Callithrix jacchus: one gene and its partner. The protein of the gene in region 1 interacts with the protein of each later gene in a pairwise test. Links are inferred from orthologs where the notes say so. Each region holds a gene or a part of one and is shown in the gene's direction. Other genes may lie near its edges. The genes, in order: DYNC1I2 and DYNLT3.

What was found.
Region 2: the proteins of DYNC1I2 (region 1) and DYNLT3 interact in binary tests that used the Homo sapiens proteins (3 or more experiments, as listed by UniProt). The two-hybrid records come from large-scale screens. The link is inferred for Callithrix jacchus from reciprocal best matches to the Homo sapiens genes DYNC1I2 and DYNLT3.

Annotation. Positions count from the first base shown.
Region 1 is NC_133507.1:57,799,031-57,815,702, reverse strand, and holds part of DYNC1I2 (cytoplasmic dynein 1 intermediate chain 2), read left to right. Parts: intron 1-3,365; coding exon 3,366-3,425; intron 3,426-6,209; coding exon 6,210-6,325; intron 6,326-7,344; coding exon 7,345-7,389; intron 7,390-15,528; coding exon 15,529-15,624; intron 15,625-15,833; coding exon 15,834-15,996; intron 15,997-16,098; coding exon 16,099-16,198; intron 16,199-16,672. UniProt on the Homo sapiens protein: Acts as one of several non-catalytic accessory components of the cytoplasmic dynein 1 complex that are thought to be involved in linking dynein to cargos and to adapter proteins that regulate dynein function.
Region 2 is NC_133524.1:38,620,529-38,636,596, reverse strand, and holds DYNLT3 (dynein light chain Tctex-type 3), read left to right. Parts: upstream 1-4,500; 5' UTR 4,501-4,535; coding exon 4,536-4,565; intron 4,566-5,698; coding exon 5,699-5,740; intron 5,741-9,787; coding exon 9,788-9,911; intron 9,912-10,583; coding exon 10,584-10,661; intron 10,662-10,980; coding exon 10,981-11,057; 3' UTR 11,058-12,792; downstream 12,793-16,068. UniProt on the Homo sapiens protein: Acts as one of several non-catalytic accessory components of the cytoplasmic dynein 1 complex that are thought to be involved in linking dynein to cargos and to adapter proteins that regulate dynein function.

The DNA of each region.
Region 1 (16,672 bases):
CATAGTAAAATAGTTCCCAGGAATAAAAATTACTGTATTTATTAAATGTCTTTGATATTGTATTTTATTTTTATGTAGATACTATACTGTGTACATTATAACTAATTGTTCCTGATTTTGAATAGTAGAAAGATTATTTTAATTCAGTGTCAGCAAGTTTGCTTTCAAAAATACTTTGTGACACCTACTTAAGTTTTTTAAATTAATGTGAATTAAAACATGTTCCCATGAGTTTTATGGAGAGCCCAGACGATATTAGAGACCTGTTAGAATATTGTAAATTAATACAGGGAGTAATACTGATAAGAAAAATATTCATGCATAGAACGAATATTCATTAAGTTATTAACTTTATTAAATACTGTGGGTTACCACAAAGGATAAAACATTCTTGGTCCTTGCTTTCATGGAATTTACATTATAGTGATTGAATCATTAATTTAAAGATACTGTTGACTTTATTGAAAAGCCCTCAGGGTAGTGTGCTAACCTATATTTAGTGTGAACTGTAGTTTATTAAAGTGATAAATTGGAAACACCAAAAAAGTTAATATTTTTTAAAGTATTTGTTCTTGTTAGATAATGAATACAAAATTAGCTTCTTGTGAGTTTATCAGAGAGAAAAATCCTCTTTTTGAATGAGGTGATCTTACATCTTTTTAAATTTTCTTTGAGATGGAGTTTCCTTCTTGTTCCCAGACTGGAGTGCAGTGGCACGATCTTGGCTAACTGCAGCCTCCACCTCCTGGGTTCAAGTGATTCTCCTGCCTCAGCCTCCTCAGTAGCTGGGATTACAGGCATGTACCACCACCAGGCCTGGCTGATTTTGTATTTTTTGTAGAGACAGGATTTCGCCATGTTGGCCAGGCTGGTCTTGAACTCCTGACCTCAGATGATCCACCCACCTCAGCCTCCCAAAGTGCTGGGGTTACAGGCATGAGCCACTGCGCCCAGCCACATCTTTTTAACCTTAATATGTACATTGTCTCCTTTGAGAGTACAAACTCAGTTGAAAACATTAATTTTCAAGAAGGCTGAGTATATTCATTTTAATGTATATGTACACATACGCAGTAATAAAAAATGAATTCTACCTAAATCATATACAGCTTTCATAGAGATAATTAATGTTGTGATGATGATATTGACAGTGAAATAAAACATTTCTGAATATATGATGTTTAAAAAGAGTTCCCAGGTCTGAGAATGAAACCTAATGAACTCATGTTGAGCAAAAACGATGCTAATGTAAGAATAAAGACAATAAGAAGAAATACAGGAAAATGCATGAAGACATGTGAGACGTATGCATGCACCTGTACATGAAAACTTCAGTTGGCCAATGCAGTCTAAGATTAGTACACGTAGGGAGTAGGAATAGATACAACATAAAATATGCTATCTAAACATGCTTGAATCACTCTAAGCGCCAAGAATTTCTTTTGGGACTGATGGTAATTTAAGAATAAATTTAAAAGGCCATGAGAAATGATCTCTCTCTAACTTTGCAGATTAGGGAGCTGCATTTTATTTGTTATCTCGAAAATTAGGAACAATTATTTAGTAGGGTAATCCAGGCCTCTTGTTCCTTTTTTCCTTTTTTTTTTTTTTTTTTTTTTGACTTGGAGTCTTGCTTTGTTGTCTGGGCTGGAGTGCAATGGTGTGATCTCAGCTCACTTCAGTCTCTGCCTCCTGGGTTCAAGTGATTCTCCTGCCTCAGTCTCCCCAGTAGCTGGGATTACGGGTGTGTGCCACCTGGCTACTTTTTTATTTTTAGTAGAGACAGGATTTCACCATGTTGGCCAGGCTGGTTTCAAACTCCTGACCTCAAGTGATATGCCCACCTCGGCCTCCCAAAGTGCCAGGATTACCAGTGTGACCCACTGTGCCTGGCCCTTTTTTCCATTTTTGATCAGTTTGTTTCTCAGGCTTTGTACTTGGAATTGTATGTCTGAAGATGCCCTTAATAAATATAATCATGTACACATCCAATGGATTTTCAGTACTGGCTGTATTTTGAGGTACAGTCTTACTTGATTTTAGACTAAAATGACATCCTCAACAAGGAACTTTATGTCATTGATAGCAGATCTCTTACATAATGTAAAGGCTATTGACAGAACATTCCTTGGAGACCGTCTCATAGAACTTCTTTTGATTTAACAAAGCCTAAGCTTGTTGCTGTGTTCATTGCTTAGTACAAAGTAGATCTTCACTGTGGCTGCTTCTTACATTGCATACACATAATCTTGTTTAAATTCCAAGATCTTTCTTTATGTTTTTTAAATGGAGGATTTCTCTAGATTAATTCATTATTATTTTTCTTGATAAATTGTATAGGCAGGTAAGAGAAACCATTTGTTGTATTAAAACATTGTAGCAACTAACACTAGTTGTACGTTATAACATCTTAGATAAGTGAAAAATATATTTGATAAAAATGGTAGTACTAAATGTATTATGCTTAACTTTTTTTAAATGGGGACTATGAGCATTAGACTGTACTGTGCATAATTATCTTATATATTGCTAACCTACATAAATGCCAGTATGATAAAGTACCTTTTGTTCTACTAGTAACTTTGTTAGGCTTAATTGGAAAAGATCCTCTATAAGTTGCTTAGCCAGTAGATGATGCTAACACTTATCACTAAATATTTATTTAGAATTGATATTTGAACATAAATTATTTTTCCAGGGAAAAATGTATTTTTTCCTAGAGACAGAAATCTTTAGTTGTTTTCTTAAGCAGATGATATGTAAGCCCAAGGCAGTGCTTAACCCATAAATTACAGAAGGGTCACATTTTGGAAACTTTAGCTATTTTGTATCCCAGTGGGATAGTCTTTGGTTTTATTACCAAAAGGCTTATGTGTTGACTCATTTCCTTTACCAGTATGACAATTTCCTGCACACATTTAATGCTTTGGGGAAGATTAGAATACGTTAACTAAGATGTTTAAATGTGGTCTTTTTTCACTAGAAATCTTGAATTTTCAACCATTTTATAGCCTAGCTTGTTATCCATAAATAATTACTTGGGTTGTCTGCTTTAGTTGTTCTGAAGCAGATCTGTTCTGAATACAATATTAGTTTCCCATAGTCTGTAAATAATGTCTTTTTACTATTCTGGGGTATATGCTTGCATCTTTAACCGTAGTAAGCTTACTGCATGCACTGGATGATTGAGTGACCTGGTAGATTTTTTGTTTTGTTTTTTGATGTTTTTTTAAAAAATACTAACCAGAACATGTAGTTTTTAATTGTGAACAGTACTTTAGCTTTAGCTATTCGTAGAATGTATTTGCTTGACTAACTTATGGCCTTTTTTGCTAATGCTTCATGGTTGTCCTGCAACCATTTAGGACGCTGCATTGGGATACAGATCCATCAGTTCTTCAGCTTCACTCAGATTCCGATTTGGGGTATTGAATAGATTTTCTACCTTCCCTGTTTTATAATGAATTTGATTCTTTGTGAAACTGTCCTAATTTTATTTTGCTTAAGTTTGTAATATTGTATCATGTAGTAATGACAAGAGTTATATTTTACTGTGACACCTCATTTATCCAGTATCTTTAATGAAAGAATATTCTCTCCATGTGATGTTCTAGTTACCCTAAGTCCATTGAAGTGTCCAAACTTTTAAAATTATATCTGTATTTTTAAGATAAGTTTTCTAAGAGTTATTTAAAAACTTCTCAGACTTTTTCTAATACACAGTCTACATGAAATTGAACCTTTTCAGGGTTACTTGGTATGGATATTAATTTATTTTTCTATATTAAAATTCACTGACGATTTCTTAGATTTTGAGAGTAATGGAGATGCTGGTCCTTACACCATTCATTCATTACTGTTCATTCATAAATCTAGAATAAATAAATGAATGAATGGTTGAATCTAGAATAAATATATGAGTGAATGGATGAATAGATTACTCTTCATAGAATGTGTAGATGAATATTATTAATATAATTGTCATTAAGTCTCTATTTTAAATAGATTCTTTTCTTTCATTTTTGTTTTCTTTATTGCTTTTCTTTTTTATTTTTATTTATTTATTTTTTTTTTGAGATGGAGTTTTGCTCTTGTTACCCAGGCTGGAGTGCAATGGCATGATCTTGGCTTACTGCAACCTCTACCTCCTGGGTTCAGGCAATTCTCCTGCCTCAGCCTCCCAAGTAGCTGGGATTACAGGCGAGTGCCACCATGCCCAGCTAACTTTTTGTATTTTTAGTAGAGACGGGGTTTCACCATGTTGACCAGGATGGTCTCGATCTCTTGACTTCGTGAGCCACTGCGCCCAGCCCGTCTCTTTTGCTTTTATTTTTTGGCATATTTTCATAGGGAAACATTAGAAAAATAATGCTTTATAGTTTCTGTATGTATGTCTTTGTTTTTTAGAGTTTTAAAACTTGTTCTTTTAGAAGTTAACACTGTAAGCTTATATGTATGGTTTTTAAATTTTGTTGACATAGAGATAAGATTATTCATCCATTCATTCACTCATTTTATTCTAGATCCTAATGCAAATTTTAAATGTTTGCTTGCCATCTTGCCTGACTCAGATAGCCCTTTTCCCCTGATAACTTATACCTTCTAAAATATATGACTATACCTTTTGGAATTGTGTCTTAAGTAAGAGTAAATGAGCCTTGATTTTAGGCATATAAGAAAAATACATGAGTTTCTCGTACATGAACTGGAAGACCTCTTTATTGGCCACATTGAGGCTTCCCCCTCCCGCCTCCCATTGTTTTCTTATTTTCAGTAAAAGTGTCTTTTGGATAAGTGAGGTATTACTTCCCTACCCACCTCCTCCTATAAAATCTTGGAATATTTTGTTTGTTTAATATTGTGGGGTTTTTTTGTCTGTTAGTCTCTATATGCATTCACGTTGGTAACTTGTTTCTAATATAGTTGGCTTGATGATTTTTTTCCAGATATGTGAGTGATTTACTTTTTTATATAATTTGCATCTTAAAAATCAGAATATAAAGTTTCTTATTTCAAATTTTATTCTTAGACTTCTAGATTACTTCAGATTACTTAATTTGTCCAATTAATTCTTTGACTATGCTTCCCCCCCACCTTTTTTTAAACTAGAAGAGACATTAAAAAATTGCTATGGCCCACATTTTTTTATTACTTTATACTTTATAATACTTTATTGTTTATGCTTTATTATATTGTACAGGACTTGGATTTAGTTACTAAACAGAACTGAAAAGAGTATTTATATAAGAAAAAATTTCTCTTACCAGTGATAGCCTGCTTCATATTCTGGAAGTTACAACAGTGTCTTTATTGCATATCTTTTTAAGGCAGCTTCATAACTGAGAACTTTTTTGGGAGTTTGGAAGTGTACTTTATTTGGTTTAGAATTTAAACATCTAACATAATAACCAATAAAAGATCTCCCAGATAACTAATAAAAGATATTTTTCTTTTCGTTCATTTTCCTCAGCCACAGCGCTCTTCCATTATCAAAAAAGAATGTATTCCTTATATTTAACTAAAACAGAAGTGATTTTAGTAGATTTGTGGTATTCAGAAGATCTGTCATTTTAGTCTAGGTGTAGAATATCTGAATTTTTTTGTAGTTTGTCCATATATGAATCAAGGGCAGTATTGATCATGCAGAGATTAGAGATTTAAAAGTTTTAAATATTTCTTTTTAAAGTTCAAATTGATAATGTAATTCTCCATTTCTGCCAAATAAAAGTAGAAAAAAGGCTTTTAATAGGAACCTGTTTTTCAGTTGTAAAGCTGAATTCTCCTTTTGGCGAGATCAACTAAATGTGGTCTGAGTGATATCCATGTCTGATTCTTCAAAAAAAAGTCCAGAAAGAACCATATCCCAGCTGAAACCAGTTTCTTTTAACAACCTTATTCAGTGGTCCACTCTGAAGTTCCTATCCTCTTACTTCATTATTGCTTACACATTTATTCTAAATAATGAAATTACTTGGCTTTTTAAAATGAAAAATAAAAATACTGAATGATTCAGAAATATCTTTTGCCTTTGCTACCTTCTAATTCTTTTGCTAAAATACAGCCAGTTTATCGTTAATCTAAAATTTCTTGAATAAAATGGATTTAATTTAATTTACAATGTTGGGTGCAAAGGACTGTTTACTTCTTAATTTTGAAAATAACATGGTTTGATGTAATTAAAATGTATTGTTTTTATTCACTTAATTTAGAAGAGGACCTATTAAACTTGGAATGGCTAAAATCACTCAAGTTGATTTTCCTCCTCGAGAAATTGTCACATATACAAAGGAAACTCAGACTCCAGTTATGGCTCAACCCAAAGAAGGTGAATATCTATCCTTAATATAATTGTCATTGAGCACCTATGTTAAATACATATTCTTTTTTTCTTCCTTTGGTTTATCTTTTATGTCTTTTTTCTTTTGTATTTTGGCATATTTTTTAGGGAAACATGAGAAAATAATGCTTTACAGTTTCTGCACTGTGTCTTTCTTTTTTAGAGTTTTAATACTTGTTCTCTTAGAAGTTAACATTGTAAGCTGTATGTGTGGTTTCTTAATTTTGTTAACATAAATTTAAGTCTTTGAGTCTTTATATTGTCATTAATGTATACTGCTTTTAGAAGCCAAAACGCTTAAGCATAATTTTGAGCATGATTCTTCCCCAAAAAAGAGTGGGTCCCACAGTAAACAAAGTCATGTAAATTATTTCTGAATAGCATAGTGTATCCTGATGTTATTCATACTAATAAATGAATCTAGACTTAATTTTTAAACTTTCTCTTTTATGATATAGGGGCTGTATTATGTTGATTAGTTAGTAGCCTGTAATTTGTGTAAAATATGGGGAAGTAAGCACAGACATAATGAATGTGGAGACCCTTTGGTAAAACTGGAAAGCATTAAAATAGCTAATGATTCAAGCATAAGGTCCTGTGATCTCGTTTTCCCAGTGAGGCTAATGAATTTATGTCATCCAAAAAAAAAAAAAAAAAGATTTATGTGAGATCCCTAATACACTTCGGTATCTTACCCGAAGCTTTTGGGGCCATATATATATTAGAATTCCAAATATTTCAGATTATGGAAAAGTAATAAAATTGTATCATATGTGAAAACTCTATTGGTATCTTGGTCATTAATATTTTGGCAGCAAAGCATATGAGTATACTAAGTGAAATAAGTAATGACTATAAATAGCTTTATCTCTGGTCATGTCAGTGTTTACCACCAAATGAGTTGTGGATTTTAGAGCCGCTAACAGTTTGGGAATAGAAATTTTATTAAATGTTTAAATTAATTTATTTTGTAATTTTTAATTAAATTATCATGTTTCTCCATTAAGGAAAAACAAAAGTTATATTTATTGCAGAAAGCCAAGAAAATACAGGTAAGCAAAATGAGGAGAAATCCTTGAAACCCTGTCTACTACCAAAAGAAATTTTTTAATTTTCATATTTGTATATACCTAGGAAAAATTAGGATTGTGGCTGGGTGCAGTGGCTCAGTGCCTGTAATCCCAACACTTTGGGAAGCCAAGGCAGGTGTATTGATTGAGGTCAGGAGTTCAAGACCAGCCTGACCAGTATGGTGAAATCTTGTCTCTACTATGAAATTCTGAAAATTGTCCAGGCCTGGTGGTGGGCACCTGTAATCCCAGCTACTTGGGAGGCTGAAGCAGGAGAATCGCTTGAACCCAAGAGGAGAAGGTTGCAGTGAGCTGAGATCACACTACTGCATTCCAGCCTGGGTGACACAGCGAGACTCCATCTCAAAAAAATAATAAAATTAGGGTTGGTAAAACTAGAAAGCATTATAAATAGCTAATGAGTCAAGCATATAATTACAGTTTCAAAATTTTGAGGAAATTGATACAACATTTTTGTCCGAGTACTTTATTTTTATTTATTTATTTTTTTGAGAGGAAGTCTTGCTCTGAGACCCTGGCTGGAGTGCAGTGGCACCATCTCAGGTCACTGCAACCTCTACCTCCCAGGTTCAGGTGATTCTTCTGCCTCAGCCTCATGAGTAGCAGGGAGAAGAGGTATGCATCACCGCTCCTGGCTAGTTTTTGTATTTTTGGTAGAGACAGGGTCTCTCGCCATGTTGACAAGGCTGGTCTCAAACTCCTAGCCTTAAGTGATTTGCCCACCTTGGTCTCCCAAAGTGCTGGGATTACAGGCATGAGCCACCTCACTCAGCCAAGACTTTCATTTTTTAAAAATAGTTTTTTCTAATTACTATAGCCGTATATCATAGAGAATTTAGAAGTACAGAAAGGATATAGAGAGGAAACATTTTTGATTCTTCTGTGTATGATCCATTGTTAATATTTTGGTTCCAATGAATATGTCTCCAAACTTCTTATTTAAATTGGTGACTAAAAATTATAACACCAAGAAGTGCCTACCACGTATCAGGCATAGTGTGAGACACTTTGCATCATCTATAATGCTGTCACCAAAACCCTGAAAGTTAGGTATTGGTTTTGTTTACACACAAAGAAGCTGAAACTGAAAGAAATAGTTTGTCAAGTGTTACGTAGCTAATAGCTGTGATTGTAAACCAAATCTGACTGATTCTAAGGTGTGCTTTCTCTCACCACTGAAGCAGCAACTCATGTTTTTATGATAGTAACCTATAGTAAGTAGTTCGGTTTATATTTAGCACTGATTCTATTTGAATTTGAGTATAGTTTATTGAGTATTTGCTGTATATAAAGGCACTAGATTATCCTTTCTTTGGATTTGTTGTCCTTTTAGTTACAGGTTGAGGTATATAGGTGAAGGAAAAAGAAAAAAATTGTATCCTGATACCATGAAGCTATCCTTAACCTTTGGAAATGTTTATAAAAATGAGATATTCGGGCAGTATCCTTTGGGGGAAAAAAATGAGATAATTTCTTTTCTATATCATTACAGTTATTTTCATGTCTGGAGCTCTTACATTAAGTTTCTTTTCCCAAGTTATGTAAGTTTTAGAAAGAGGGAAAGAGAAAAACCTTGAAATTAAGATTTTATAATGGAAACACTGTGTGCTTAACTCTTCTTTGCTTACCCATCACTTTAATACCTTGGCAATCAAACTTCGCCTGGTTGGTTCCCATTTCAGAATTATGTAATGAATTCCACAACTCACCATGAAACAAAATTGGTGAACTCACAATTGGAGTGTAACAAACAGCAAATTAAACTTGGGTAGGCAGTATAATCCATGCAGAAGTAATGTGACTTACCAAATTGAAGCTAAAAATTGGTCATAGACTTAACTCTTATCTTTTTTTTGTATGTTTTTAAAATAAAAATGGCCAAGCCTATTCCTTTAAAAAAGCGGTTTTTATTCTGCCTTGTTTTTCTTATTCCTTGTTCTAGCCATCTTCTTGCTTTCAAGTTTACTCTATAAGTTGGTAGTACTGTTTCTGAACTGCGGTGCTTTGCTATCTTAAAGCACCTACTGTGAATAAAATTGACTAGTACCACATGACTTCAGTCAATTTTCTTCTCTGCAGGTGAAAAGCTTCTCTTGGCAGGAACGTGGTGCCCACAGAAATACTCCTGGAAAAGTTACTTTCTTTGCCTTTTAAAAGTTTTAACTCTTTTGAAAATGGCTTTATTTTTTCTTACCTATTTATTCTGTATGGGTTTTTTTTTTAAACTATTTTTTGAAAGCTCATTAAAGGAAAAAGAAACCCTGAAGTTTATCTAATTTAATCAGCTTGTTTACATCTGAGGAAACTGAGGTTCAAGGAGATTAATTAGTGGGCCTAAGTCCACAGTGTGAGAGAATATTGGGCATACATCCAGAAACTGGCACTTGATTTTTAGTGAAGCACGATTTCTCTTATTGCATTCCACTTTCCTATCTGTGAAGGAGTTTGTAATTACTGTTGGTATTGGCTTAATAGCCAAATATTTTTCCTCAATACCTGTTGATTAGCTCTATAGCTTGGCCAACATGGTGAAACCCCATCTGTACTGAAAATACAAAAATTAGTCAAGTGTGGTGGCACACACTTGTAATCCCAGCTACTCAGGAGGCTGAGGCAGGAGAATTGAACCCAGGAGGCAGAGGTAGCATTGAGCCAAGATCATGCCATTGCACTCAAGCCTGGGTGACAGAGTGAGACTCTGTCTCCAATAAATAAATAAATTAATTGATTAAAATGGATTTTTAAAAGATTCTGGAATGAATAACACATTTAATAAATTAGTTTTAGCCCTCAGAGGACCTATAAGGATATAAACATAATTGAAAATTGAAGCATTTGTTCTTAATCTTGATTGAAAGACTTTAATCAGCAAATCTGAAACCCTGGCCTCAGAAAAATGTAATGTTTGATGAGATGACAGATAACAAAGTCTACGTAAGGGTGCTAATACTGCCAAATAAAACCCAAATTTTATATAAAAAGGACTATGGCTGGGCAAAGTGATGTGCACCTGTAGTCCCAGGGACTCAGGAGGCTGAGGCAGGAGGATCACTAGAGCCCAGGAGTTTGAGGCCAGCCAGGGCACATAGCAAGACCCCATCTCTTAAAAAAAAAAAAAAGACTACAGAGAGACAAATTTTGTGTTAAAGGAAGTGGTATAATTAAACTATTAATCCTTTCCCCCCCAAATTAGCATTACATCTATATTGAAATAATTTCTGATTAAAAAGTCAGCTGTGTATTTTTCCTTGAAGAGCCAGAGAAAACCAGGTGACCTGGCATCTTATTCTAGATGGTGTAAAAAAAGGAATGGATTCCATTGGTACATTCATGAAGCTTTGTCCCAGCGAAGATTATCTTAAAGATGTATTTGATTTTAAAGAGTAAAGTATAAGAAGGTGAAATTATGCACAAATGGATTTAAATAGAGTGATTCAAAATGAAACTGCTCCAGAAAAGAAGGGATTTTTTGAAAATGTTAAATGAGAGCCAGGCGCAGTGACTCACGCCTGTCATCCCAGCATTTTGGGAGGCCGAGGTAGGTGGATCACGAGGTCAGGAGTTAAAGACCAGCCTGGCCAATGTGGCGAAACCCCATCTCTGCTATATAAAAAATATATATATACAAAAATTAGCCAGGCGTGGTGGTGTGTGCCTGTAATCCCAGCTACTCGGGAAGCTGAAGCCGGAGAATCACTTCAACCCGGGAGGTGGAGGTCGCAGTGAGCCAAGATTGCACCACTGCACTCCAGCCTGCGCAACAGAGCGAGACTCCATCTAAAAAAAAATAAGATATTAAAGGGAAATTATTCCTATGTAATCTGTATTTTTAAACTAATGATTTAAAGCATTTTCATCTAATATTTTCATAGATGTTTGTGAAGTTATTCATAAGTTGAAATTTTCTAAAGTCAAATCATATTTTTATATGCCACAAGTGTCCTGACTTTTAGAACTCAGTGTCATCTTCCTTTATACCAGGAATAATCAGACTACCTTGTAAATTAGGAATTTTTCATAGGATATTAAATTATCTTAAAATGGGATGCATTTTAAAATATTAGAAGAAAATATGAAAATATTATAGGAAAATGCTTTAATCATCAAAGGAATATGCTTTAATCATTAGTTAAAAAAATAGAGATTACATAGGAATAATTTTTCTTTAATATTTTCTTTATTTTTTTTTTGAGACAGAGTCTTGCTCTGTTGTCCAGTATAATAAAACTATATAGTAAATTGATAGACAACAAACATATTTCCTAAACAACAGTGCACTAACGATGGGATTTGTTTTTTTGCTTCATATTGAGATATAATCATTTTAAGTGATAGATTCATAAGTAGCAATGTTTGTTCAGTAAGGATTTTCTAAGATACTGTATATTATCTTTTAAATGTCTTGTAATATTTTAAAATAATTCAAAGTATGCTTTGTGACTTACCTTAGCTTACCTTAAATACTTAAATACTCTTAGCTTACCTTAAACGTATCTTAAATGTAAACTGTATCTTAAATGTGCTGTGAGGTACAGATGAGAAAACTTGTTCTGAAGGCTTCTTCCTTTAGTTTAACAAAAGCTACCCATTTCACAGATGATTTAACTTTGATTAACCTACTCCATTGTAACAGATTATTTCAACAACTGGAATTTCATTCTTTAGTAAAAGGTGAAAAATTTATACGATCTGAAGAGAAACCAGAGTATTTGGAATTTCATTCTTTAGTGTTATTTCTAGGTGCAGCTTAATTTACAAAACAGCTTTTCTTTCTGTCTCTCCAAAATATGTCACAATTTTGATGTTAACTCAGTAAAATTCAGTGGTTCATTAAACCTAGTTTTAGCATTCATTTACAAGAGATTTGTCATTTTAAAAGTAACTGCTACTTTTATGCACTCTTTACTGCTCAGTTTATAACCTTAGATTACTTGTCAGAGAAAGCATGGAGTTAACCACTTAGCATATTATAATGAATATTCATCAATAAATTGATGTGACTTGGCAACCCCATTTTTCAGTCTTCCTGCTCTGTTACAGTCTTTCCCAGTTTTAAATATAGCTCATCATGTAATAAGGACTAGCTTAGAAAATCTTTAGACTGCAGTTTTATATTTTTGGCCATGTTAATAGTCCTTTGGTAGCTATTATATTAGCTTATAACAAGAAAAGCATATTTGTTTCAGAAGAACATCCTTTAATCTGATGTTATTGATATCAGACATTTTTGTGAAATACTTGGTAAATATTATAATTATTTAAGATTAGCCTTACAGCAAAAATATCACATTTTACAGTTTTTAAGAACAGCAGTATCATTTGTTTTTATTTTCCTTGAAACTTATTTAATCATTTTTATGAAGCTTAAGTACCAATTAGAGTTTTAAAATCTGGTTTTAATCCATGTAGAAAGGGAGGGTATGTACTTTTATTCTAAAATAAAACCCTGAGAGCATGTATTTAAATAGTTGATACTCATTATTCAGCTACAACTGAAATAATTTAGATGGACAAATAGGCATGCCAAATGCTGTTGAGTACACAGATACAGATCACTGTCTGACATACTACATCTACATTTTAAATTTTAAAAGGAAAAGAGAGTCTATAAACAAGATCTTTTCTGTTAAATATGTAAATTATGAGGTCACTTAGCACTAAAGTACTGACCATATGCATTATGACAGGAATTTGACACCTGTCATTGGAAATGGTACTTAGAGGCCGTATAATACAACAAAGTTGAAGGAGGAGAATAAGATGTGGGTAGGAGGCTGTAATTTATAATTCACAGTGCTCAAGAATGACCTGTCCTGGGTGACTCAAAATCCCTATCTTTGATTTTAGGATTTACATACAGTGAACTCTACTAGTAAACAGACTTGATTAGGATAACTGGTAGCATTAGCAGGAAGTGGAAAATATATGTATATTCTAACAGTGAATTTTTAGTTGAAGGAGATGTTCTGTTCTAAAAGACAACTTATAAGTTAAATGTAATTAAATTATTTTATTACATTACACCTGCAGGTGACTTTATGGAAGAATTTCATTCTAATGCTTGAGTGGTATCATGTAGAATTGCTACCAGTTATACTATTTTCAGATTAATAATTCGTTGTACATGAGAATTCATCTAAAAAGGAGTAGTGTCTTTCTGTTTCTCTGTGTGATTATTTTGCCCCAAAAAGCTTTCATTTTTTTAAGTAGCACAAAAGCTGTAATTGGCATGCTTTGTAAGGAAGTGTCAATGTGCAAGAGAATGGCGATCACTAAGAATTCTTTTACGTGTTCTTTCCCCTTTGCACCACCGCCTCCTCAGCAGGGTCACTGAGATCACTAGCTTTTCTTGAAATGGCCATTTTCACTGGCAGGTGCATTATACCCTGTATTTTCAGATTGTTTTTCCATTCTGAATGTTTGGCAGGTTGATTGCTCTGGCTGCATTGACAGAGAGAGGACTGACAAATGTGGTTGGGCTGGCTGAAAAGACAGTGATTACTGTTTTCCTTTGTGGCTGATTGAGGCCCTTGAAAGGAAAAATTTTAACCTTCACCATTTGGTTCAAAAGTATGAGCATATATTGAAATCACTCGTGCCATTTATCCTAGTTCTGTAAACTTGTCAGAACGTAAAAATCGCTCAATTTCAAGTAATGTAGGATTGGCATACGTCATTATCATTTTGATTAAGTTGGATGGAGGTTGTATCATTGTGTGCATTATACAGTGTCATTTAAAGCTTTCTTTCCACAGGTACAGTTATATTTTTATTGCTTGTTCTTCAGAGTTAGAAAGATTTTCATAGCTCTCAAAACCTAACACTGTGTGTGTGGTTTGGCAGCTGGTGTGGCCTACAAGCTGCATTTTGTTTGCAGGGTAAAGGCTTGTCTTTAGGCCTCCTGGAGTGCGGGTAATTGCACAGGCCCACCATTGGGGAGAGACACAGGATTGGAAGCAGTCAAGCGGAAGAATGTTATGCCATCCCATTGCCACCTTGTAGCAGAAAGACGTAATCCCAGCAGTGCCATCTGGTTGTTGCTATCTAGTCAGCTGGCCTGGCTGCTGGGACCATGACTTGGCAGCTGGTTTCCATTCTTGACCATTCTTTTGTGTATGTCGTATATATGTGTTTTAGATAATTTTGAACATGGGTCAGGGAAATGACTATAACTACCAAGTAAAGTCCCCTTATTGAATAGGCTCTCATTACTTGAGCTGCACTCTGCTGCAGATGCCTGCTGCCTTTCCCTTATAGACAAATAACGCATGTGTTTAGGCCATAAAAATAAACATTTTCTTCATAAAAACCCATCTAAATGTGTAGCAAAAGAAAAGGTAGGCAGGGTTATGTGTTCTATAACATTTTTAAATAAATTATTTTAAATTCTTATTTGTGATGTAAGAGATTTAGTAATTTTTTAGAAGTCTTATAAACACTGTATATTATCCCAGTGTATATTTTTATTCACATTAAGAAAACATTAAGTGCTTATTGCCACATCATATAACAGTAGATAATGAGACTTGCATTTAAAATGACAGAATAGAAAATGTGGTCTTATAGCTATTATCTTCAAAATCTGCCTCTCAAATAGCAACCTGAGAGTTAATGTAAGCTGTCTTTATGCCATATGAAGACCCATTAGACACTGATGGTTTCAGATCACAAGTAAGCAGCCAGCTCTGTAGGCTATTTTAGACATTTGATTTTCCTCATTCTACAGCATTAATGTGTCAGCATGCTATATAAAACTATGCAGGAGTTGCATGTTGTTCTGTCTAGAATGATAAATGCTGGCAAGCTTTTAGAGACTTCATGAGGAATTCATCCTAGTTGCATATATATCTTATTTCAGTTTATGTAGCTACAGAATTTAGGGTGGCTGTTGCTGAGGTACCGCATAGGTATATATAAAAACCAAAATGTTCTACTTAATTTTTGACTATGTTGGTAAAAATCCCTATTATTTGTACTTGTTCTGTCCTGTCATTGGTTTACTTTTGCTTTTATCTTGGGAGTTGTGATACCCTCTGAAATACTGTCTCAAAGTACTATTTTCATTAAAATAATTAATTCTATCATTCTGCTTTTTTTCAGATGAAGAGGAAGATGATGATGTAGTGGCTCCTAAACCACCTATTGAACCTGAAGAAGAGAAAACTTTGAAGAAAGATGAGGAAAATGATAGTAAAGGTGTCTTAAAGAATTAAACTTTAAAAAATTTTGTTGATTTCTGTTAAGATTTCATTATTTATGTATTAAAGTAGTATAAAATGCTGTAAATCAAAAAAGTGAATCTGATTGAAAAAGAATGTGTAACATTCATTGATCCATACTGTGATAGTGAGTTGACATGATTTGCCTGACATAAATCATACTTCAAAAAATTATTTGTTTTTCAGCTCCCCCTCATGAGCTGACTGAAGAAGAAAAGCAACAAATCTTACACTCTGAGGAATTTTTAAGTTTCTTTGACCATTCTACAAGAATTGTAGAAAGAGCTCTTTCTGAGCAGATTAACATCTTCTTTGACTACAGTGGGAGAGATTTGGAAGACAAAGAAGGGTAATGTTTAATGCTAAGATTTTTAGCTCCAATAATGTTAAATTTAAGAGTGATAAAAGTTATAACATCATCTTTTTGGGGGGGTTGGTCTTTTTTTTGTAGAGAGATTCAAGCAGGTGCTAAACTGTCATTAAATCGACAATTTTTTGACGAAAGATGGTCAAAACATCGAGTTGTTAGTTGTTTGGATTGGTCATCTCAGGTAAAACATAATAAAATTAGCTGCTCTTAACTCATTTTTAAAATTATAATTAGCAGGTAGTTTTATTTTAATTATGGGAATTTTGTGTAATAAATCAATATGTATTATTTAAAATTAATGGATGGCTCTAATGTTAACATAATCAAGTACTTTGGAAGAAAGATTAGAAACATTATTTATATTTAAAATTCAGATCTTTATGTTACAGGCCAGTTTTACTAATTTCAGTTGCTCACCAAATTCTTTGTGTAAAATTTGAACACATTTTAATTAAATGTTTTAACATTAAAATATTTAAAATAATTAACTGTTCTAATTTAAAATTGTACTAATGTCCCAATGAGCATAACGCTAGAGATGTCTCTCTTGATGAAATGTTAGGTATTTGTATTTTCAGAATAATAATCTGATAAAGACAAATAACTAGGAATATAAAACAGTTCTTATTATGCATAGCATTTCTTTTCTTCTTGA
Region 2 (16,068 bases), on another chromosome or scaffold:
GCTTCAGTTTGCAAGATCAAGCTTGGGTGTTTCACACCCACGGTTTAATCCGTGGGGTTTCAACCCAAAGCACGATTGTTTACCGGAATCATCCTCCTTTGCAGTCATAATTATGCAATCTAATTATTTTACCCCTTGGCCCATAAACAAAATACTTAGCATCTTTTCACCTCAAAGTAAAAAGTTATCCCAAATGCCATGCTCATCTTTCTTGGTTTCATTATTCTAGGTCTTAGATCCATAATTCTTCTCCATCTTGTTAAAAATCCAATTCTTTCGAGCAAATGTCTATTATATTTTGTTCAATCTTTGTAATTATCAATGAAAGGGATGGTCCTAATTACATAGTCTTCCATTACAGACGCCTTTAAATATAATTTGAGTGGTTAGTAAAGCGGGTCCAAATGTTTTTTATCATCTACTTCTATGGGGAATCTTTCTCAATAATATAATTTATTTATATTTAGGGAAAAATAATTATTAAAAACTCTTTAATAGGAATTGCTTATTACTACCTAATGCATAGAGCCAGATATAAAATGATAGCAAGATTGAGGGTCTCACTAAAGCATTGAAAGAGATTTTATTTGGAAGTTTTTACAAATTAGATTTTAACACCCTTTTTATTTTGTTTTTTCGTATAATTGTATAATGTAAAGAAAATATTTTTTAACCAAACCCCATAAAGATGCCCACAAAGTCCCTCAAGTTTACCTCAATGTACCATATAATTATTATCTTCTATGTGGACCATAGCATGGATGTACCAACATTTATTTTACATCCTTTTTTTTCTTGCTGGCAGAACTCACTTTTCATCATACAAAAGGAAAACGCCGACATTTATTGTCCCATATATTTTGCCTGGCGGGAGTCACATGTCCCAGTCTTGGCCAATAGAATATGAGGAGGAAACTCCCAGAGACTTGAAAGAAAGATTTGCTTTCCTAAGAAAATCTGATCAACCCCAGGAAATGCTCATCTTATTCCTGAATGTGATATCTTTGTTCCTAGAGATACCAGAACTAATGCAGCCATGTATGACCATGAGGCTAAATGTTGCTGATATACTGAGGATACTGGCATAGAAAGTTGAAAAGCACAAAAGTCCCCAATATCTGTTGGGTAACTAAACAGACATAGAGTATCTCTGCCTCTGTATGTCTGTGTATTAGTCTGTTCTCTCATTGCTTCATAGCAATGAGAAATACCTGAGACTATATAATCTATAAAGAAAAGTGGTTTAATTGGCTCATGGTTCTGCAAGCTGCACAGGAAGCAGAGTGGCTCCTGCTTCTGGGCAGGCTTCAAGAATCTTACAATCACAGTGGAAGGTAAAGGGGAAGCAGGCACATCTTACATGGCTGGAGCAGGAAGAAGAGAGAGAGTGGGGAGGGGCTACACACGTTTAAGCAGCCAGATCTCATAATAACTTACTCGCTATCACTATCACAAGAACAACACTGAGGTGATGGTGCTACCCTATTCATGAGAAATGTGACACCATTATCCAATCACCTACTACCAGGGAATTATAATTCAACACTGGGAATTATAATTCAACATGAGGTTTGGTGGGGACACAGATCCAAACATATCAGTATGGTTATATAAGAAACTAAATGCCATTATTTCAGCTCATTCTATTGGGTCTTTTGTTACTTGCAACCACAGGATGCTAGTTAATAAGCCCACTGTAGTTTTAAAGCATGGCCCCCAAATTATTTGTCACTTCTATTGAGAAGTGGATTCTGTGTCTCCTCTCTTCGAATCTGAGTGAATGTTTCGATGATTAGAGTATGATAGAAGGGCTGTTGTGTAATTTGTGACACTAGGTGATAAAAGGTGACACATCTTCTACCATGCTCAATGGAACACTCATGCTTGGAGTTTTGAGTTGCCATGTAATGTATCTGGCTACTCTAAGGCTGCCGTGATGAGAAAAAGCCAATCCACTCAGTGGGGCCGTGTGTTTGTTGCTACAGTTGACAGTGCTAATATTTGATTCATCTAAGCCCAGGTATCAGACATGTGAATGAACAAGTCTTCAGATGATTCTAGTCCCCACCATTGAATTTCCTCCCATCTCTGAGTTTTCCCACCTGAGGCCTCAGACACAGAGCAAAGACAAATTATTTCTGCTGTGCCTCATTCAAATTTCTGACCAACAGAATCCATGAGCATAATATAATAAATAAGCTGCTAAATTCTGGTGTAATTCGTTACACAGGAATGGTAACTGGAACAACACTTCATCATCTCACTTTATATGCATCATGAATGATCATGATGCATATAAACACAAACTTGAGAGGTGCTGGTGCAGCCCTTGCAGTGTTAAGATTAGGTAACTTCAGGGTTTAACTCACCCAGGCATAGGTAGAGTTCTTTAGGGAAATAAAACTGATGTTCACAATGACACCATGAATTCTTCTCATGAATAGAATGCTGGAGTTGCTCATAGAATGAAAACTTTGGTAAAAAGAAAATCTTGAAAGAGGATGTGCTTCCTCTATGAATTACAGTCACTTCTGCAGTAACCCTCCATGATCCACAACTCAGGAGAACAAATAACAAACCCCATATTGTCAAGTAAACAACCCTATTTGGTTCTAAGTTCATAAAATAAGAGCCTGAGAATCAGAAGCCCAGGAGTCCAGTTAACATGTATGTGCCTTGTAGAAGTTACTTTATCTTCGCAGCTTCAGTTTTAAAATAGGGGAGTTGGACTAGAAGACTAATGGTTTCCAACTTTGATTCTGGGCAGCAAAATAGAAAAGTGTTGTGGTTGGCTGAATAATGCTCACCCTCAAAATTGTTCTCATCTGAATTCTAAGAATCTGTGAATATGTTATAGAGTGCAAAAGACACTTGGCATATGTGATTAAGTTAAGGGTCCTGAGAGGGAAACAGGAGGGCGAGAGTCATACATCTCTCCTTTGTAGAGATGCCTCGCATCTCCTTTGAAGCAGAGGTCAAAGAGGAGAAAAGAGGCTGCTGGCTTTGAATTTAGAGGAAGGGGTCACGAGCCAAGGAATGCAGGCAGTCTCTAGAAGCTGGAAAAAACAAAGAAACAGAGTCTGCCCTAGAGCCTCCAGAAGTCATGCAGCTCTATGGGCCCATTTTAGACTTCTGACCCCGAGAACTCAGGCAGAATAGGATCAAGAGGCAGGGAACTTAAGACTGTTTCACACTGACTTCCTAGAATTAAATTGAAAGGAAAACGAACTTTCTAGGCCTAAGTAACAAAAGGACCTGAGGCTATTCCCTTTGCAATCCCCCACCTTTTCTTCAGGGCAGATGAGAAATTGAAAGTACCTATGATTGGTTGCTTTTTGCAACCAATCGGATATTTGCATAGGAGTGTGGCCTTTGTAACTTCACTTCACCCTGTGATTGTGGGCCACCACTTCATTTACATGGGATAAATACGAAGTGGCCAATGGTAAACCTCTAGGGGTTATTTGGACCTGAGAAGATTCTGTATCCCAGCCCTTGAACGGCTTCTCCGCCCACTCCCACCCTGTGGAGTGTACTTTCATTTTCAGTAAATCTCCGCTTTTGTTGCTTCATTCTTTCCTTCCTTTGTTTGTGCCTTTTGTCCAATCATTTGTTCAAAGCTCCAAGAACCTGGACACCCTCCACCGGTAACAGAACTGTAAGAGAACAAGTGTGTGCTGCTTTAAGGCACTACCTTTATGGTAATTTGTTACAGTAGCAATAGGAAACTAATACAGTGGTTAAGAGCTTGGGTTCTGCTATCAGATTACTTGAGCTCAAGTCCCTTTTCTACACCCTACTGGATGTATGACCTTGGGCAAATTAAATTCTCTGTACCTCAGTTTCATCTTGATAAAAGCAGTGACAGAAGAACTCTTCTGGCTGATGGTGAGGTTTTGAGGAAGTGATTAGGATTATCTGGAAAGTAACAACTTTAAAATAAATGTAGCGATTGTTGTCTAGCTGAGAAGCATTTACTTTAGGAGTTGTGTATATAGCATCTCATCCGATCCTTACAACCAGTAGTGAAATAGGTATGATAGTAAATTTCCATATGAGAAAACTGAAGCTGTGGGAGGTGAATTTTTCCAAGTAGCATAGCTAGTAAGTGGACAAATCAAAGCGGCTGGTTTATCACGACATTAACTACACTTTTATGTGCCAGATGATGGTGAATGGCCAAATATATGTAAATAATCACAGCAGTGGGCACTCAACCAATAGTGTGGAGTCTAGATTAACTGCCGCTAGGTCACCCCATCTGATCCACACTGGCGCCATTCCCAGTTCTTTAACATTCATCCCTTGTTTCCAGAAAGGGCAGAGGAAGCAAGGAAGGGGTGCGTGACCTGACGTGACGCCTTGCCGGGAGCTAGCCCTGCGTTGCCAGGTGACGCCACTGCAACACAAAGGCGGGGATTGCGTAGGGAAAGGCCCTAGGCCATAAACGGGGGTGGGGCCTCCCCGGAGGCCACTGCGCGGCCGCGGTGCTCCACCAGCGCGTCGCTCCGCCCCCAGGGAGAGCCGGCGCTACCATGGAGGAGTACCATCGCCACTGCGACGAGGTACCGCCCCTTGGCTACCTGAAAGCGCCCCCCGCTCCCGCCTTCCTCTGCTCGGGGCTCTTGCCGGGTGGTCTCCCAGCGTGGGCGGCCCCAAGAGTTTGGGTGCGGCGTCCTCCGAGCCCCGGTCCTCTCCCCTGGGCCCGGGATCCGTCCCGCCCGACCCGTTCTCCCCATCCAGAAGTCTTGAGATTCGGGGTGGCAGGGGTGGCCAGGAGGGCGCGGATCAGACGGTGGGGTTGGGGCAGGGTTGGGAGGACGAGGCCTAACTTGGGTGCTAGGAGTGGGCATGGGGTGGCGGGCTCCGCCCTTCTACCGGGCGGGCCTCGAAAACGGGTCTTCCCGCTGCTTCCTCAGCCCCTTGGCGTCCTCAGGGAAGGTGCTGCTGCCCCCGTCGATCGCGGTCTCGGTGTCCTGGAGGCACTGCCACTCCCACTCCCGGTAACTCTTGCCTGGGTGGGCTGGAAGGAGGCGCTTTATGGATTACAAGCCTTGCTTACTGACTCAGGCTTTCCCAGCCCTCACCAGAACCCCATGATGTCAGTTGTTATCTTCCTGCTATCGACGGGGACTCTAAAGAAAAGACTAAGTTGTCAGACCACTTTATAGCATTAAAGTGATGTTAATTTTGAGTTATCAAGTATTTTCATCATCTTTAATTTAGGAAAGAAATTTTTGCCTAACGTAAGTTAAAAACAAAATTGAAAATAATCTATTAAGCATTCTTTTCTTATGGACCACTTTATTCTTTCACTTAGCTGAAACTATTTCTATATTCTTATAACACATAACCTCTTTATAGCCACTTCTTGCTTATTTCCTGAGTTTTACAATACAATGATTCTTAATCTAGGATGTTCATTAGAATCACCAGTATAAAGCACTTTTTAAAAAAAATGTAGGCTTGCAGGCTCTACCCCAGACCTCATGAGTCATTCTCCAGGGTGGTAGGTAGGGAAAGCATTCAGTGTTTTAAGTGTTTAGGGGTAAGATTGGCCGCTTCTGTAGACCTGGTGCTCTTTATCACTGTGGTCTCCTGTCACTACCACCTGTCTAGGCCAGCCTAAGGTATTCTATGTAGCGTCATATCTGCAAGCCTGTGTTGAAAGCAGCTTTACCTTTTGTTTTCCCTTTAGGTTGGCTTCAATGCTGAGGAAGCCCACAATATTGTCAAAGAGGTGAGTTATACATGTTGTTTCTCCTGAAGCTTGCTGTGTTGGTCGAGATTTTTAAAAGCTATATTTTGACTTTTTGTAGAGACAGGGTTTTACCATATTGGTCAGGCTGATCTCAAACTCCTGACCTCAGGTGATCCACCTGCCTCGGCCTCCCAAAGTGTTGGGATTACAGGCGTGAACCACTGCACCCAGCCAAGAACAAGATTTTAAATATTTATCCACTAACTCTTTATAGGGGTGCTTCTATGTTTTTTTGTGTGCTATTGGCATCTTGGGGCTTACTCTGAAAGAGATGTCTAAGGATTTTCTTAGTCTAGAAAACTGGTTTAAAAATGATACCCTGTCTTTTGGATAAAAGAACTTTTATTCCAGAAGGCAAACATTGTTTTAAATGTTAACACTATAAAAGTATATGTATGTGTGTATATATGTACACACATAGAGACTTTTACAAAGCATATGTATAATGTATATGTATATTTTATAAAATAGATAACAAAAGTCCTAGAAATATCTGCCTTCGGGCATGTACACTTTTTTGCCGAGTATAATAGGAAAAATGATCACTTAAACATTGATATGATGGTAAATCAAAATTTTAAGGAAAAGGAAAGTATTTGAAACTCCTTTTAGGCAAATAGAAAAGAAATTATCCTTGGGAATTAATTCTGGCAAGGGAACTTTCATTATTTTAGAGGTATCACATACAGACTACAATATTGGTAAGGTATTTTTTAACACCTTACCAAGGTCTGACCTTATACAACTAGAATTAACTCAAGGTCTAGACAGGCACCTGAAAATCTTGCCATATTTTAACACTTCAGAATTATGCATTCTATCTATGTAGCCAGGAATATTTAATTATTGAAAGTAGAATGCAAAGGTTTCTGATACCTTTACAATGCAAAAGCACAAATGAGGGAAACTGGGAGGTGGAAGAGGGAGTGGAGGTAATGAGAAGGGAGTGATCTTAATTTTCGAAGTGGAAAGTCGGGAAAGACTGTCCTTGGTTGATGGAACATGAAAGAAAGAATACTGGGTTCTTTGGGATTTCATTTAGATAGTGCCTTCTTCCTTGCTTAAGTTCTGAGCCAATGAAAAGAAAAAAAGAGCCAATAGAAAGAGAACAAAATATCACCTTTATTATTGATAAAAACTAGGTTGGTGATTGTAGCTTGTTTTGCTAACTCCCATTCAGTTCAGCCCTGGGAAGAGGCATCCAAGAGAAAATTTGAGTCAGCAGAGAGAAACACTTGTTCAGGCTGGTGCCTTTCATTGGTTTGGGTGGAGTGGGAAGGAGAAACTAAAGCCCAAGTTCAACACATTGGGAGACTGGCTCTGCCAAATGAGATGTTAAAACGATGGTTATCACCTACCAACCAGGTAACTCATTCCACCTCAATAGGGAGGAATAACTGACAGGACAAGAGGCCAGGAATGTTAAAGAACAATCCTCTGTGTGGAAGAAAACACCCAGAGTGGAAAGGAAACAGGTTTCTAACAGTGTAAATACATTTAAGTTAAAAAAAAATTGTGATTTCACTATATTGAGAGAAGGGGGCGGGTGGTCTGAAGGAACCAAATTTTCATCTATCGTAGTAGGAGTTACGGATGTCGCCTATAATTCATAAATCAAGAAATAGTGACACAAATGTTATTTGGAGATATGTAAGTAACCCTTAGAAGAAATAAAAATGGTCGTACACTGATGAGTTTCCTCTGGGGAATGGGACTGAGAATGGGAAAGGAAACGGTGGGGAGGGGACTCTTCATTCTAAGCTTTTCTGTTCCACTGGATTTTTCAAACCATATGCCTGTTACTTTAATATTGTATCAAATTAAAAGAATCATGCTTTTTCAACTGGGAAATACATACTTGGCAGTGGCCAGGTGATGCTAGAAGTCACTGGATGTATTTTAGAGCATCAGTTTTCCTTGAATATTTGTGAGACAGAGTTAAGTAATGTAAGTAATTTAAGTGAAAACAGTTTTTTAAAAAAACAAACTGATGCATTATGTCGTTAAAAGCAAGTTTCTCTTGAATTTTTATATGAAGTATGAGACTGCAAAGAAACTCGGCTTTGCTACAGGTTATTTGCAGCTACGTGTCTATCCTCTTTCGTCCTCCCATGAACCAATCTTCTACCATTGAAACACTTCCATTGAGACATTGGAAAGGCCTGGGAATAAGCAGCATTTTAAAACATTTTAGCACTTCCTAGATGATTACATAATTTCAGCAGTTATTTCTGATTTCCTTACTGATCTTATTTTCTTTCCTTTGATTTCTTGCTCTGAACCCCTATGCTAATATGTTTTTCCTGCTGAACTGAGGGATACTCATTTATCAGTAATATGCATATATTTTCTTTATTGTTAGTAATGGAAATTGCTTCCTCAAGAAACCTTCAAAGAAAAAGTGAGCTACAAATGAAATTGACTTGGACCTTAGTCTAAAGTGTATTTAAGATACCCAGAGAGTATATCAAAACCAACATTGCTTCAACATCAAACATCTATTAAATACCTGCTTAAGGACTGCATTGTCTAGTGGGCCTCTATGTTAATGTAATTAATTAGGCTAAATGTTAATTAATAGTAATGAGCAGGGCTATTTACAGTGGTACCCACACCCCATGGTGTTTTCTGCTATTTAGAGCAAAACTTGGAGTGGTCCTATTAAATAACCTGAAAGAAAAATGAGTGCTCTTACTTTCTCCTTAAGGAAAGGTGATCACAAGAGAGAAATAGGTTTGTCCAGAGGTCATCAGCTTAGTAATGATAAAGCCAGAATTAAAATCCTATTCCCCTGATCCTTAAGCCACTGCCCTTCCTACTTTGTCATGGTATTGAGCTTTCTAGGAGAGTAATTTGAGCCACATTACTTTTGTCAATGCTTCTAAAACATTTAATTTATCCTTTTATATTTTGTCATTAGTGAAGATTTTATACTACCCAACTTAAGATTTTGTATTAGTGCCTTTATAAATCTTTACTGCGGTCTAATGATAAAGCTGCATGTGTGTGTATGTGTGTATTATTAAGCTAGATTTTAAAATGAATTATGAGTCTGATTATAGTAAATGAAGCTGCATATGTGTGTTAGATTCTAAAAATGAATTAAATGAGTGCTTTAGTATCTTGGCTTCATCACTCAAATGTAAAATATAACAGCAGCAATATGATAATAGTAGTTAACATCATTTACATGCTAATGCTGTGCTAGTCACTGAGCACTTGGTATTCATTCATTGTCTCATTTCCTCCTAACAACAACTTGATAAGATGATGCTGTTATCCTTACTATAAGGATTAGGAAATAGGGATTTGAACGGGTTGAGTCACTTGCTAAAGGTCACACAGCAGATAGGTGTCAAAGTAGGCCTTAAAACCTAGGATTGTGATACTAGAGCCAGTGCTTTTAATCAGATGTCAGAAGTGGATAAAATTAAAGATTATGGGAAATTACAATATTTGACTTTCTTTTTCGAGAGCATCTTTATTTACTTTCAGTGGCAAGTGTGCTAGTTGTTTCACAGCTAAGCAATCACATAGTATGAATGAGAATATAATTAGTATACATAAGAATTATGTTTTTAAATTAGTCTCAGCCTATGTTTCTAGCATGTGAACTCTAGTTCAAATCCCAGCTGTTTCAAAGCCACTTGGTAACCAATTGATATCATCTTTTTATTTCCCCACCATAATTTTCTATGACATAATTTATCATTAGTCTTCCTTGTGCTACAGATAATACAATTTTTTTATTAGCATCTCTGCTAGATTAAGTTGTTTACACAGAAGCCATGACATATTTATCTCTATATGGCCCATAGTATCTCATAGACTGAGATAATGTATGTGGAAACTCTTTCAAAACTCTTAAGCAATTAGAGACAATGCATAATCAATATTTACCAAGTGTATATTTTCTAAGATGCCTCATTGAGCTATAAGTATATTTTATGTTTTGAATAAATATTTACTGCAATTTGTATAAAAATTGTTCTTTTTGGCTAGTTTAACTGTCTTCTGCTGTTTTAGTGTGTAGATGGGGTTTTAGGTGGTGAAGATTATAATCACAACAACATCAACCAGTGGACTGCAAGCATAGTGGAACAGTCCTTAACACATCTGGTTAAGCTGGGTAAAGCTTATAAATATATTGGTAAGTATCAGTATCCTTCCTCACTAGTTCACTTGCCTTTGTCATTGTGATTGTCTCTGAATTTTGAGAAGGTATATGAGCAATAGACATTTAAGTTGGATACTACAGGATATAAAGGACTTCTGATTTACTCATTCAAAGATAGTATAGTCTGTAATAATACTTAAAAGATGAAGATCTTTCACTACTCAAAGACAGTTTCAGCTACTTGTCGTTGGTAGCATCACCCTTTGCATTTGCATCAGTTCTCTCTTTCCACTGAAGCCCTCTTAGCCCAACTCTTTCTTTCAGTAGTCCCATGCCTCTTTACCTGTAAGAAATTCCACACAGCAACTGTTTATAAAGTGGAATATTTCCTGCATTTCTGCGTCTGAATCCTGCCCATGGTACAAAGCACAGAATTTGACTGATATTTTTTCCTGCAATACAATCACCAATGGTAATGACATTGGTTAAAAAAAAAACCAGCTGAATCTAATGGGGTCAAAATCATGATGGTAGATAAGATGATAGTCTTTTATTTTCTTCAATCTCTTTGCTGAATGCTTTGTTTTCTGTATTTTATTCTATTTTAATTTTTTACAGCTTATAGAGCTCTGAACTCACACACTTTGACTTTGGTTCTCTTTCCCTTTGTCTGTAAGTGTCCTCATTCTGTGACTTTATTTGCAGTGACCTGTGCAGTGGTCCAGAAGAGTGCATATGGCTTTCACACCGCCAGCTCCTGTTTTTGGGATACCACATCTGATGGTAAGAGACCTTAAGCTGATTTACACAAAATCCAACTTTTAGCAAAGTCAAACTGCCCTTTTTAATCAAATATTTAATTCTAATTAAATTCTAAAAAGACTATCAACAGTATTGCTTTTGTACCTAGTAACAAGTATACCTTCAGACCAATATGAAATGTGAAGACTTAACAGGTTGAAGGAAATAAAATATTAAAACATGTAAAAAATGTGTATATATATATATATATATGTTTTTTTCCTGATAGTATATGTATTTTCTCATATATATTCCATATATATTTTGCTGGTATTTCAAAATCCTTTCATTTGTGTTTCAGGAACCTGTACTGTAAGATGGGAGAACCGTACCATGAACTGTATTGTCAACGTTTTTGCCATTGCTATTGTTCTTTAACTGACTACAAATATTGGGCTAAAGCCATTAACTTAAGAATTTGTCAGTGTATCCTTTTAAAAAAAACAGTAATAGTTATTTATTAGTGTGCTAGATGACAAGCGTGCAATATGCTTTAGAGTTACCAACAAAAACTGATTATTCTAAGCAAGCAATATCATAGTTATTGGCAGATTATCTCATTTTCTATACAACATCATATAAATCAGAAAAATTGAATTCTAGCAAAATATAAATGCAGATATATGGTATGATATAAAAATACAATCTTACATTTACACCAGCTTTTCACTAATATTTTGTACCTAAGGTGATGGGGTACTCCATTCAGATAATAAAATTCTCTTTCAGCTAGAGAAGTTAACAGAAATAAATATATGAACAAAAAATCTACAAGGGTAAATGTGGAAAAAAATGAGAATTAGCTAACATCTTTTAGTTTTTTTTAAACTTTCTTCCCCTCACTGAGTTGTACATAATATTTAGTGGAAAGTAATTCTTTTTCTTTTCTATCAAGTAATAGTGTAGTAACAACTATGATTAACTTGTTTACTTTTTCTGAGAATTAGCAAATCAATTTGCTTTTAATTTCAATTTTTTGGATTTACACTTGAGGGTGAATTAAATCTGTTAAACTGAATTTCCTAGTTAAACCAAGTTAGTTACAGTATAGGATGAAGAGTATGTGACTCAAATAGCTGCCTTATGATTCACTCATTCCATGTTGAACAAACATTTATCAGATGCCTATTATGGGGATATTTATCTGCTAAGCACTGTAGTTATCAATGTGCTGTGCAAATGCTAAGTTCCTTTTAGCAATTGTTCAGTTGGAAGACAAGTATTAATATTTGGGGAAGGAAAAAAATAGTTGTTTTACAAGGGAGGAAAAAGAAAATGAATCTGGCCACACATAGAAGTAAGCAAAATGAAAAGCGCGTATTACTTTCTGACAGAATTATAGACAAAATTTTAAGAGTTGCTCCTAGCAAGTTAAAAGTGCATATAAAATATGCAACTCTTAGTTAAAGGCCTTATTATCAGTCTTATTTATATAAGTAGTACATTTTATCATTGCTTTAGTTACAACCATCTGTAAATAATTTTAAAGACTTATTATGTGAGGTTCAAATTGAGTGGAATAGAGATAGATTAAAAGTATACAATCATTAGCAGGTTATCTCAGGGCTTATGAAATGTAATTAAATTTATTAAGAAAATAGATGAAAAATTAGGGTACACAGCTGGCCACCAAATGCAAAGTCAATTTGCTACTTAACCTTGAAAACAAAATCAGTTTTGCATATTACCACTAACACTAATACATATAGAGAGTGGAACCATAACTCATTGAATTTTGGGGAGGAATAAGCTTAGTGTTAATATTGATGATATTAAGGCAATATTCTTGTAGGAATACCACGTGCATGTTTGATATTTTGCTGAATATCAATAACAATTGTTCAATGTTTAAGAATAATATTAACAAAATAAAGGAGTTTAATGCAGTGATCTTTGTTTTGGGAACATCAAAAATCTCGGTCATTTTTCATGTTTCTTTATGCTGCTGGCTTTCATGCCCTTGAAGATTATAATAGTGACCAAAATATATATGCAGACTTGTTTTTTATTATTGTTGAAGCCTGATTTAAGAAAAAAAAATTCGTACCTCGTGAACTTGCCATCTACTCTGTTTCTAGTTAAAATATAATAAATATTATCTTCCTGCACTGTACTTTTGCTTCTGGATAATCATTTAATAGAGAAATGACATTCTGCTTGCTCTTAGCAATTTTAAATAGAAGAAATGGCTAGGTGAGTTGGCTCACACCTGTAATCCCAGCACTTTGGGAGGTGAGTGAATCATTTGAGGTCAGGAGTTCAACACCAGCTTGGCTAACATGGTGAGACCCTGTCTCCTAAAAACACAAAAATTAGCTAGGTGGGGTGGCACGCACTTGTAATCCCAGCTACTGAGGAGGCTGAGGCAGGAGAATTGCTTGAACCCAGGAGATGCAGTGAGCCGAGATCACGCCACTGCACTCCAGCCTGGGCGACAGAGAGAGACATCGTCTCCAAAAAAAAAGAAAAAAGAAATCTAAATAGGAGAAATGGAGAAGAGAAATGAATATGGGACCATATAAATATATTATGCAGAATAACTACCATTAAAATAGCAGCCTCAATCTAGTGTTTACCATTACAATATAATAGCTTCTGGTTTATGCCTTTTATTTTATGATTTTAACACAAAATTTCATTTTCAAAAAGTGCAAAAACATATTCTGCAACCATTCGTTTTTAATGATTATTTTTTGCAACGGATTTTGTCCTATTTGTCAACTTGCAATTGTATTGTTGTTTTTAATTGAGGACCTTAAGTTAGTAAAATTAGGGTATTCAAAGGATTTTTGTAACACTCTAATTTTATGTTTGTAAAGTACCCATATGCTGCCTAAATGATGGCAACCTCTGATTACAATTACTCTAGTGAAAGTACTTTTCTGCTTTTCTTTCCAAGTTGAGTGTTACCTAATTAAGAGTCATATTATTACTACCAGTTTTCATCATTACATTCTTACATTAATCTTAGGCTGCCTAGGATTATATTTTCAAAGTTTGAGTAAAAATAGTTATCTATTTTTGATAACAGTTTTTTTTTAAAAAAGGGTGAGAAAAATTTGTGACTTTTTGTGGCAGAAGTCTTTCTTAGATACCAAAGCAAAGATTAAGGCTGGGTATGGTGGCTCATGCCTGTAATCCCAGCACTTTGAGAGACTGAGACAGGTGGATCGCCTGAGGTCAGGAGTTTGAGACCAGCCTGGCTACATAGCAAAACACTTTCTCTACAAAAATACAAAAATTAGCCCGGCATGGTGGCGCATGCCTGTAGTCCCAGCTACTTGGGAGGCTGAGGCTGGAGAATAGCTTGAAACAAGGTGGAGGTTGCAGTGAGCCAAGATTGTGCCACTGGACTCCAACCTGGGTAACAGAGCCAGACTCCATCTCAGACAAAACAAAGATTAAGAGGTAAGTTGAAAATTTCACCTCACATGCTAGAATCCACCCAAGGGGCATTTGTTTTATAATCTATAAGGTGGACCTATATTTGTGGCTAAAGAGGATTTAATGTCGAGTAATTCTGTGAAGTTAACCTTTGCACATTTATGAAATTATCTATTAATTTTTTTGAGGTGAAGTCTCACTCTATTGCTCCCCTGAGAGGACGTTTTTCCAGGTTCTTGATCTATCACGTGGAGGAGACCACGGTGCAGTACGCTTGTAAAGTAAATACTGGACTCAAAAAGTGTTTGCAGAAAGTGATTTATTTAGGCAGAGAGAGAAAAGGGAGAGAGAAAGAAACAGCTAGCTTTCACACTGAGTGGGAGAAAGAAAAGCCGCTCTCACACTGAGTGAGAAGGGTTCCCAGAGGGGGAAACCAGAGAAGGAAAGCTCCTCTCACACTGAGTGAGAGAATCCAGAAAGATGGAATCCAGGAGAGGAAAGACAGCTTCCACACTGAGTGGAAGGGAATAGAGAGAGATGGAGTTTAGGAGATGAAAAGCAGCTTCCACGAGGGAGGAAGGGGACCCCAGAGGGGGGAAAATCCACCTGGAGGAGGGGAGACAGGGAATTTTAACCTGGGAGGAATTCTCCCCCCCCCTCCACAAGTCCCTTGGCCAATGAAAGAAGTTCCTTAGAACATCTGCTGGAGTAATTGACTTTTGACCCTTTCCTGGACTGCGGAAATTTAAGCAGTTAAATCACCTGGATGGAGAAAGCTAGGAGTCAGCCTTGGTGCTGGGAAGTTCTTGCCCTTAAAACTAGGCCCCCTCGTGGACCTGGAAAGAGAACACATTCCCTCATTCTTATCATGGAGTTCATTTTACAACCATATTTTTTGAAGAACATTATTATAACAATTAAACATTTTGTGGATCCTTTATTAATTTTTGCTTACTTTATGATTAAGATGGGCATCTACCTAGTAAATTTTCCTAGGGAATTTTCCATGCATACTGGACATTGCAGTCATGCCCCATTCAATCCCTCCTGTTAGCAGAAATTGCATAGCCCACAGATCAAACAATCCTGCATTTCAGCTTAGGGAAATAGATGCTCTACTTAGGAGTGACTACATATTGCATTAGGCATGATCACCTGACCCGGTGATGGTTTATCCATAGACGGATTTTAAACCCATAAGCCGGCCGGTACATTAGCTAATCCAAGCAAACTAGTTCCCTCTGAATTTTGGATTGGAAAATAAGGAGAGTATTGGTTGACAGGTGGAGAAGGGAGCAGATGAAGAGAGAAGCAGAAACACTTGGGTCTGGTTAAGGATTAGCCCACATTCTCCTAATGGCAGAGCTGCAGCTGCAGATGCCCTCGTCGCTCTCCTCCACTCTCCAATGTAGGGAAGACTGTCCAAGCTTCAATACCAGTAACACCAGCAGCAGTATTGATAATGGTATTAGCAGCAATTGTGGCAGACAGCATGATGTACTAGGCAGGAAACAGGATGGGAATAGTCTGCTCCAGTAGATGACAGAATTTCCATCATATGGTGATAATAAAAATCAGACCAGTAACCTAGACATGAGTGTTCATAACAGCTTTATAAGCAATAGCAATGATCTGGAAACCACTCAGATATCCTTCAATGGGTGAATAGTTTAACAATCTATGGTACATAAATAGAATATTACTAAGAACAAACAAACAAAAAAGCCAACCTATTGACAAGGGCAACAATTAGCATGACTCTCCGGGGAATTATATTAAGTAGAAAAGCCGATCTCAGCTCGGTGCAGAGACTCAGGCCTGTAATTCCAGCACTTTGGGAGGCCAAGGCAGGAGGATCTCTTGAACCCAGGAGTTTGAGATCAGCCTGGGCAACATAAGGAGACTCCTATCTCTACCAAAATATAAAAAAATGGTCAGTGTGGTGATGTGCACCTGTGGTTCCAGATACTTGGAAGGCTGAGGCAGGAGGATTACCTGAGCCCAG